Linked DNA regions of Danio rerio. The protein of the gene in region 1 purifies or fractionates together with the protein of each later gene. This does not show direct contact. Links are inferred from orthologs where the notes say so. Each region holds a gene or a part of one and is shown on either strand. Other genes may lie near its edges.

What was found.
Region 2: the proteins of cdk7 (region 1) and gtf2h5 purify together in Homo sapiens (affinity purification with mass spectrometry; 7 studies listed by BioGRID and IntAct, with this or other methods). This does not show direct contact. The link is inferred for Danio rerio from reciprocal best matches to the Homo sapiens genes CDK7 and GTF2H5.

The regions. Positions count from the first base shown.
Region 1 is NC_133180.1:56,116,903-56,121,181, forward strand, and holds the start of cdk7 (cyclin-dependent kinase 7), read right to left. Parts: upstream 3,092-4,279; 5' UTR 3,034-3,091; coding exon 2,968-3,033; intron 2,881-2,967; coding exon 2,821-2,880; intron 2,125-2,820; coding exon 2,091-2,124; intron 2,001-2,090; coding exon 1,933-2,000; intron 1,807-1,932; coding exon 1,738-1,806; intron 1,545-1,737; coding exon 1,434-1,544; intron 951-1,433; coding exon 832-950; intron 755-831; coding exon 655-754; intron 1-654. UniProt on the Homo sapiens protein: Serine/threonine kinase involved in cell cycle control and in RNA polymerase II-mediated RNA transcription. Cyclin-dependent kinases (CDKs) are activated by the binding to a cyclin and mediate the progression through the cell cycle.
Region 2 is NC_133195.1:28,728,436-28,732,714, reverse strand, and holds gtf2h5 (general transcription factor IIH subunit 5), read left to right. Parts: upstream 1-1,155; 5' UTR 1,156-1,273; exon of another isoform or gene 1,274-1,299; intron 1,300-1,431; 5' UTR 1,432-1,496; coding exon 1,497-1,531; intron 1,532-3,109; coding exon 3,110-3,290; 3' UTR 3,291-3,695; downstream 3,696-4,279. Other genes in the region: protein SERAC1, read left to right, coding at 1-46. UniProt on the Homo sapiens protein: Component of the general transcription and DNA repair factor IIH (TFIIH) core complex, which is involved in general and transcription-coupled nucleotide excision repair (NER) of damaged DNA and, when complexed to CAK, in RNA transcription by RNA polymerase II.

The DNA.
Region 1 (4,279 bases):
TGTGTTTGTCAGTGTCTGACAGGATCGGTCTGATAGCATGCCAATAACCAAGCGCACGTTATTAACATCAGTTCAAGAAGTTTTTTATTTTAGATTTAGACGCGCGGCGAGCGCAAGCAAGAAAGCGAAACCGCTCGCACTTCAGACTGGCTCGTAAAAAAACTAAGGGGCACAGGGTAAATCTGATCTTTGATCTTCTTTTTGGCATTGTGGCTGTTCATCAAGCCGACGACAAGGTTTGTTTGAGCCCGGGTCGACCATGGCTCGATATTATATATATATATATATATATATATATATATATATATATATATATATATATATATATATATATATATTTACAGCGTAATCTCTCGGCTGTGCTATTAAACATGGCAGCTCTTTTGTTTTCATTCTGGCCTGTTGCGCAAGCGAATGACCTATCTCTGTAAACCAATAGCATTCAGCTGCGTGTCTAGCTCCGCCTTTTGGCACCCTTTCTCTTGTTTGGTACCTTTTCGAAAGGGTGCCGAAAAAAATGGTATTGTACGGTTCGGTACGCCTTTTGACAGTGGAAACTGTCATAAAAGCGTACCAAACTGAACCATACCATTTGAAACGGGCCATTTGATGGCACCACAAGGTTCCTTTCACTGAATAAAATAAGATGCTCACCCGGAGTAAAAGCTCAGCAAGAATGCAGCCAACTGCCCACATGTCCACACCTACACCATACATCCTGGCACCAAAGAGCAGCTCTGGAGCCCGATACCATCTGAAGAACACAACATCAAACATCATCAAGATCCAAGTATTAAAGAAAATGTATACAAATCTGAAACTTGTACAAACCTTGTGACAACTTGATGTGTATACACTCTGTTTGGGCTTCCAAACGCTTTGGCCAAGCCAAAATCAGCAAGCTTCAAGACTCCATTCTCATCCAGCAGTAAATTATTGGGTTTCAGATCCTGAGAAAGAAACAATGATGATTTGATGTCCCAGATTCTTCATGATGTTTTTGGAATAAGTTTTAAAATTTTGAAGTTAAAAACGTTTTTATTTTAACCAAGGCTGCATATAAGCATTTGAAAAATGCAAAGGACAATGAATGTTGACAAACAATAGTTAATTATTTTAATATAGTTTAAACTGTCATTTATTCTTGTGCTTCAAATGGATTTACTGCACTATACTATAGGCTCATTCTAACTGCTGCTTAAGTAAAGATTCATCCTACCATTCATTTTGACCGTTAATAATTTAAAAAACAAACTACAAAGAACAGCAGTTTTTAAGTAACAAAAGGTACTTAAAATTATTTCAGGACAGAAACATTGGGAAGCTTTTTTTTTTTTTTTCACTGTAATGCATAACTGCTAAATAAAAATCCTATTCACCCGTATTGAACATAGTAAGTCACATAAATCATATATCTGTGATATAGGTCTCACCCTGTGCAGGATCCAGTGATTGTGCATGTATTCCAGACCCTGTAGTGTCATGAGGATGTATGCCTTTATATTGGCTGGTGTCAGTACGAGACTGGTGTCCTTTATGATTACCTGAAATACACAACACAAACAACAGTTTATGTGGGTGGGTGTGTGTGTGTGTGTGTGTGTGTATAAACCAAACAATTAAGATGGGTAAAAATCTAATTTAGCTGTGTTGACAAGCTCTTAACCGTTTTGCTATGTGAGGTTGGAAATTACTGAGATAAACAATATATGTCTAAGTTGATTACTGTGTCATCACCTCGAGATCTGTCTCCATGTAATCAAAGACCAGACTAATATTAGATTTGTGTCCAAAAGCATCCAGGAGCTGAAAGAGAAACCAGGTTCATAGATGTCAACATGAGTACACAATCAAAAACTGTACATCTGTGTATAATTAACGAATGTGCGCATGAACACAAACACACACACACAAACACTCACTCTGACTTACACCAATAATGTTTGGATGACTGAGCTCTTGCAACAACTTAATCTCTCGAAGAGCTGTTCTGTTGATGCCTGGATAACAAGATAAGTAAGATATTTTGTGTAAGACTTCACTTAATTACAATCAAAAATGAATAAAGATAAAAAAAAAAAGGAACACACCATCTTTAGCCTCTGTTCTGTGTCCCACTTTTATCTGCAAACAGGAAGCTTACATTTTAACATGACAGTCTGAATTAATTAATAAACAAAAAGCATAAAGCTGTCATAAAAACTCCATTATATACAGTACTTTCAGCCTTTTTCATGAATGATCTAACACACTTTGCGACTGAATTCTGATGATGAACAAACATATACACCTAATGATTACATCTATTGCACTAAAGACAACCAATCAAAAGATAACAGTTGTAATATGTTGAATGACGTTGTCTTGTTAGAAATATGTGCGTCAAATACTGTTTTTAAGTAACCTGGAGTTAGACACACACACACACACACACACACACACACAAAAACAAGCAAATAACACCCTTATCTTTGTTACTAGACGTTTTTGTCTTCAATTATTATTTTTTTCTTTTTGAAAATTGGGTTGACACCACAAAACAATTCTTCTTAAGATAAAACATTGGTAACGTTATTGATATCGTCTATATCGTCTAAGACAATACATCTTAACCTATTACTTTTTATTTTACAGTCATTCACTAATTAATGTTGCTAATAAGTTTCAGTTAAAGAATATTCATTATTTTACAACATTATAACGATCAATAAGACACATACTGACCCGTAAAACTAAAAGAATATCTGCATTTTGAACGCATTATAAGTTATTAAGGCATGGTGGTTTGCCACAACATACGGATTAAATGCAGTCTCTTACCTTTTTGATAGCGACAATGGTGTTCGTGGTTTTGTCTCTTGCCTTGTAAACAGTAGCAAACTGCAGTGAAATAATACACAATGCATGAGTGAAATCGAATGTTGTACTGCTTCATGACTTGACATATTATGAGATCTAGTCGTTTACCTGTCCTTCACCCAAAAAGTCCAGCTTTTCATAACGCTTTGCCCTTGACTTTACATCTAATGCCATGTTTTTCAACTGTAAACTTGTTCTTTGTGAAAGCACACTTCCTTCTGCGTTAAAGAGCACTGTATACTTCCGGGTAAAATAAAAGTCCCATAAGATGAAAAAACGTCCGTAAAAATAATAATAATAACATTTGTATTTGCAAGATGTAGTCTTTTAAAATGCACAAAATATGTTTATTATTGCTAAATAATTCTTTGATCGCCAAAAGATCTGTTACATGTGTGTATCTTGCTAAAATCTTAATTTATTTTATTTTTATGTAATATTTTTGATTACGTTTAAAATTATTTGCTTATTTGATTAATGTCAAATGGTTGCTTTCATGGAATCGAAAGTTGTACCGTCATTTCGTGTCAAACCCTGGTCAAACCATTCAGAAACATCCTGGCTTGTATGTATGAATTGTATGTATGTATGTATGTATGTATGTATGTATGCATGTATGATTTATACAACACCGTTAGTATCTAAGCAATTGATAATATTAGTTAATTATACATTTAAGGTTAGAGGTAAGTTTTAGGGTCAGGTTTTGTACCAAGCAGAGCTGCCAACTTTTGGTTTTAGTGAGAATTTTTGCCCCGCCCTTACGACTCAATGTACACACACACACACACGCACGCACGCACACACACACACACACACACACACACACACACACACACACACACACACACACACACACACACATATATATATATATATATATATATATATATATATATATATATATATATATATATATATATATATATATATATATATATATATTTAATAACAACAATAATTCCTTACATTTATATAGTGCTTTTCTTGGCACTTAAAGCGCTTTACACATAGGGGGAATCTCCTCATCCACTTTTTTTTTTCAAGAAAGAACATTACAAAGATATAATATAAACAAAGACAAAGAGGGTTACATAAATAGAATTCCAGCAAATTAAACAAGTTTAAATGATTTACACCAAGAAAGCGTTTCATGATTAACATGTTAACACGGGTCCATAACCACAGCAAAGCATGTTTTGACTGACAAAGATCTTAAAACAGACCACTTCATTTGTGGATCTGAGTAACGATAGCTCAGTTAGATAAGTTGATGTGTGCGCTGAACCTTTTCACTACACGGGTTACTACGGAACCCCCGGAAGGGACGTAGTGGGGGAGAAAAAAAATGGGTGGGTGAAAAAAAAATAATGGGTGAAAGAAAAAAAATGGGTGGGAGGAAAATATATATTTCTAAGTT
Region 2 (4,279 bases), on another chromosome or scaffold:
TTTACAGTTTATTCAGGATGCTCTTGGGGGACGTAGAATTAAGTGAAAGTCTTTACAGTTTCAATTGCTTTCTTAAGGATTTAAGCATCACTTTTTAAAAGATAGTGTTATCTATGACTGCCATGAAGGAAGGAAGTTTTACAATTGCAACTGGAGCTTTTTGGACATCTAAACTGTAATGTCCTGTACATTTGAAATACCACTGACATTTCACTTGTATTGTTATTATTATTTATGCTTGCCATATGAATATGTATTATGGTAAAATCCTTGTTTAACTTTTAATGTTTTACCCCTTCAAAGCCTTGTACTGTATATCATTTCAGAGTAATTTGAATGAGCACTTGTTAGCATTTATTTTAACTAGACATAACAAAAAAAAGGATTATCAAACTTAGTATGTTTACTACATCACTGCACATTTTTAAACTCAGTTTTATTTATAATATTTATTCTACTTGAACAAAATAGACATGCTAATGAAACCTTGCCTTGTTTTTTTTGGTTCACCAGCTTTCTTTCTACTACCTCAGACACACAAGTACTGATGTTGCTGTAATTGCCAATACATTTGTACTAATTCACTGACCACAGTACTTTATTTTGCCAAATCTTTGTCATGTGAATAAAGTTTTGAATCCAAACTTTCCTCTCCAAGAATAAACACTTTCACTGTAAAGCAGGGCAACACCGTGGCTTGTCCTGGATGGGTAAGTTGCCATTTCTGTATGGAGTTTGCATGTCCTCCCCGTGTTGGCATTGGGTTTCCGGGTGCTCCGGTTTCCCCAACAGTCCAAACTGCAAAGACATGCTCTATAGGTGAATAGTATATGAGTGTGAATGGATGTTTCCCAGTTAGGTTGCAGCTGGAAGAGTATCCGCTGTGTAAAACATATGCTGGAGAAGTGGGCCCTGATGAATAGAGGTACTAAGCCGAAGGGAAATGAACGAATGCACAGTAGCGGTATTGTAATGCAAATGAGTACTCTAATCTCTATGACACACTATTGTAACCGTTAAATAAAAAGGGATTAGTATTCGCAATTCAAAACAGATATGTCCCAAATAATCAAAGTCTTCAGGATTGCGAGAAACTTCCAGGTGGGTGTTGTACTTTTCTGTCAGGGTATGAGAGCAGTCAAATAGGATCTGAACTGCGCTCCAAGCCAGCAGAGGGTAGTGGAGTTGACTGGTCCAATACTAGTCGGTGAGTAGAGGAAAACCATTGTTTCTAAACGCTAAATAGTTTTCTGACACCAGTCACTGCAACAAAGTAAAGTGGCAAAAGACAATAAGAATGTTAGTGTGTATGTTTTAACGCTGTCTTTAAAGTATAGGTTTAAGAGCTGTAAACAAAATGTAAAATATTTGTAAGGACTAACGTCATTCATGGTGGACGGCTTTGTTGCTATTTCGTTTTCTCTCATACAGAGCTTTTACTGTACCTTTACTGAAGCAGCAGTAAGTTACGTTAGTGTTAACACACCCCGTCCAAAATGGTCAACGTGTTGAAAGGAGTTCTCGTTGAATGGTAAGTTTTACATACCACTGCCATTTAAAGCTGCACTGGTCATTTTACCTCAATACAACATTTAAACGAGAATCCAACGGTGGGTTTATTTAAGAAATGTGTTAAATCTAATGTGCTTACACACAATGTGGATTCATATCCGATTAGTAGAAAATAGGGCTGCACAATATATCGTTTCAGCATCGATATCGCAATGTGATCACAATGTTGAGTCTGGATTATAATTAATCATTTTGCTATAATGATTCGTTTTATTGACTTGTTTATAAAAAACAAAGACTATGCAGTATTATTTTACATCTGATTATTTAATTCATGTGTACCTGAATACATTTAGACTCTTCAGAAAGCAATAAAATGCTGTTTATTTAATTAGCAATTTTTTCTTTATTGAATTCATCTATGCTTGTAGGTTGCTTGTTATATGTTATGAATCATCCCAATCCGTCTAAAATTATAAATTATTTACAAACCGTTTTTTAACTAATCTGGTGAAATTGTATTCATATTGCAGTGTATATCACGGAATAAAAATTATTGCAATGTATATTTTTTCCAATATTGTGCAGCCCTAGTAGAAAAGTACTTTTATTTTACATTTTTACGCCACTAAAGCAATGTTGCTGAACAACTGTTCACTAACGTAAACGTTACTTGCGAGAATATAATTACAGTCGACAGATGGTTAACATTTATTCACTGTTAAACGGCAAAAATCAGTTCAAAGCATTTGAAAAATGTGGAGAAAATATTAAAAAGTCTTTATTCACATGGCTAATCTTTAAAAAACCTACGCGTTTCGGAAAAGAACAGTTCTTTGTTTTATAAAGGCAAAAAACTGTAGTTTTTTTATGTGAATAAAGGCTTTTTAAAATTTTTTCCATATTTTTCGAGTGCTTTGGATGGATTTTTGCTGTTCATTTTGATGAATCCCTTACCCAAAGAGCACCGATTATATAAGCTACCCCTGAGCACGTTTTGTTAGATTTTGGATTTATTCACTGTTACCTGTAACTAAAAACTTTTTCTTTACCACGAGGCAACATCCTTAGCACGGTATCGGATCAGTTAAACTTTCAAATTGTGCAGTATTTGTGAACTTAATTCTGTTTATTGTCACAATTTCGATGGTTTACTTCCTGAGAAGCAACTGAAAATAATTGAGGTAAAGTTATTTTTTTATATTTGTTCATTTTAAAGCTCTCTATATCGTTTACCACGCTAATTTGAATATGGGGTCTGAAATTTAATTTAAGTATGACTTCAAAACAACATTAGCACGATTTAACTGACAGTGAACAATGTTGTACTTTGATAGTTATTGGCTGCTTATATGATTTTCCTATTTAGAATTTGTAAAGAATACTTTTCTGAAATTATATTATAAGGAGAAAATCTGAATATGCAGGATATAAAACCCACTTTACCTCAATCTGAAAAAAGCCAGATGTCAATAACATCAAATACAGGCTTGACAAACCTCTATTCTTAGTGCACCTTTAAAATAAAAGTCATGCTCTAGTAGTAGTGCACCTTCATATATAATTCTCTCTCTTTTTTTTTTTAAATGTGACCCAGTGATCCAGCTATGAAGCAGTTTCTACTATATCTGGATGAGACGTCAGCTTTGGGGAAGAAATTCATCATCCAGGATTTGGACGACACGCATGTTTTCATCTTAGCTGAAGTTGTGCAGATTCTCCAGGAGCGAGTAGGAGAACTGATGGACCAGAATTCATTTCCCATCACCCAGAAATAAACATCTGAACCTTGACAGCAAGACCCTTCAGTCTGTGGGAGCAGATGGATGTGGAGATTCTTTCAGCACAATTGCACAAACACAGATGAAGCTGAAATATAGAGACGATGACTGCCTACAGGGATGATGATGTGTATTCTCTTTGGTTTAGTTTGACTGCAAAGTTCTTTTATCTGAAAAAAGTATAACTTTAAACTGTTTATGTTTTTAAAGACATATGTTTAAAAGACAGAGGCTGTCCTGTGTTTTGAAAGTATTGTTTTACATGCAAGATGGCATTGCCTACAAATAGTTATGTTTTACTGAAAGTATATGTCATACTGAATGCAGACGGGTGATGTCTGTGATTTAACTTCATGCATAATATGCTTAGTGTCAAATAAACAGAAGAATTCAACTAAAGTATTTAATGTGTTCTTATTCATTTGTCTCCTCAAAACATAGGATTTAATTTGATCTACTCTGTGGTATTGCCAGTTTGTGTAGGTTTAGGTTCCCTTCCTGTTTATGTTCTACAACACCAATACAAGCCTTCAATATTTGATCCTGAAACTGGTAAAAAGATTTTACCTTGTGGTGAAGGGAAAATTAAAAGAGTGAACTGCATTCGATTTGAAAAATATCCAGCATGTCTTAAAGAGGAAGTAAAAGTGGTGTGATGCACTCATGGAAATACCTGAGAGTTGACCTAAAATGAAAATGGCTGTACAACATCACAGTTTAAAGTAGTTGTTCACCCAAATATGAAAATGTACAAACTAGTCAAAGTTAGTCAAACAAGAGCAGTAGATTGTAGATTTTATAAACCGGTCATCATAAATGTAAAAATAGTAGAGCAGGTCTCACATTTGAAGTATTTAGGCACATTGAATTTTGATAATAATGTGGCTGTTTATTAGAAGGCAATAAGCACCTTAGTCTCCCCAGCAAGTTGAGAAGTTTTAATGTTAGTACACAGACTTTAAACATGGCATATAGATCATTGGTAG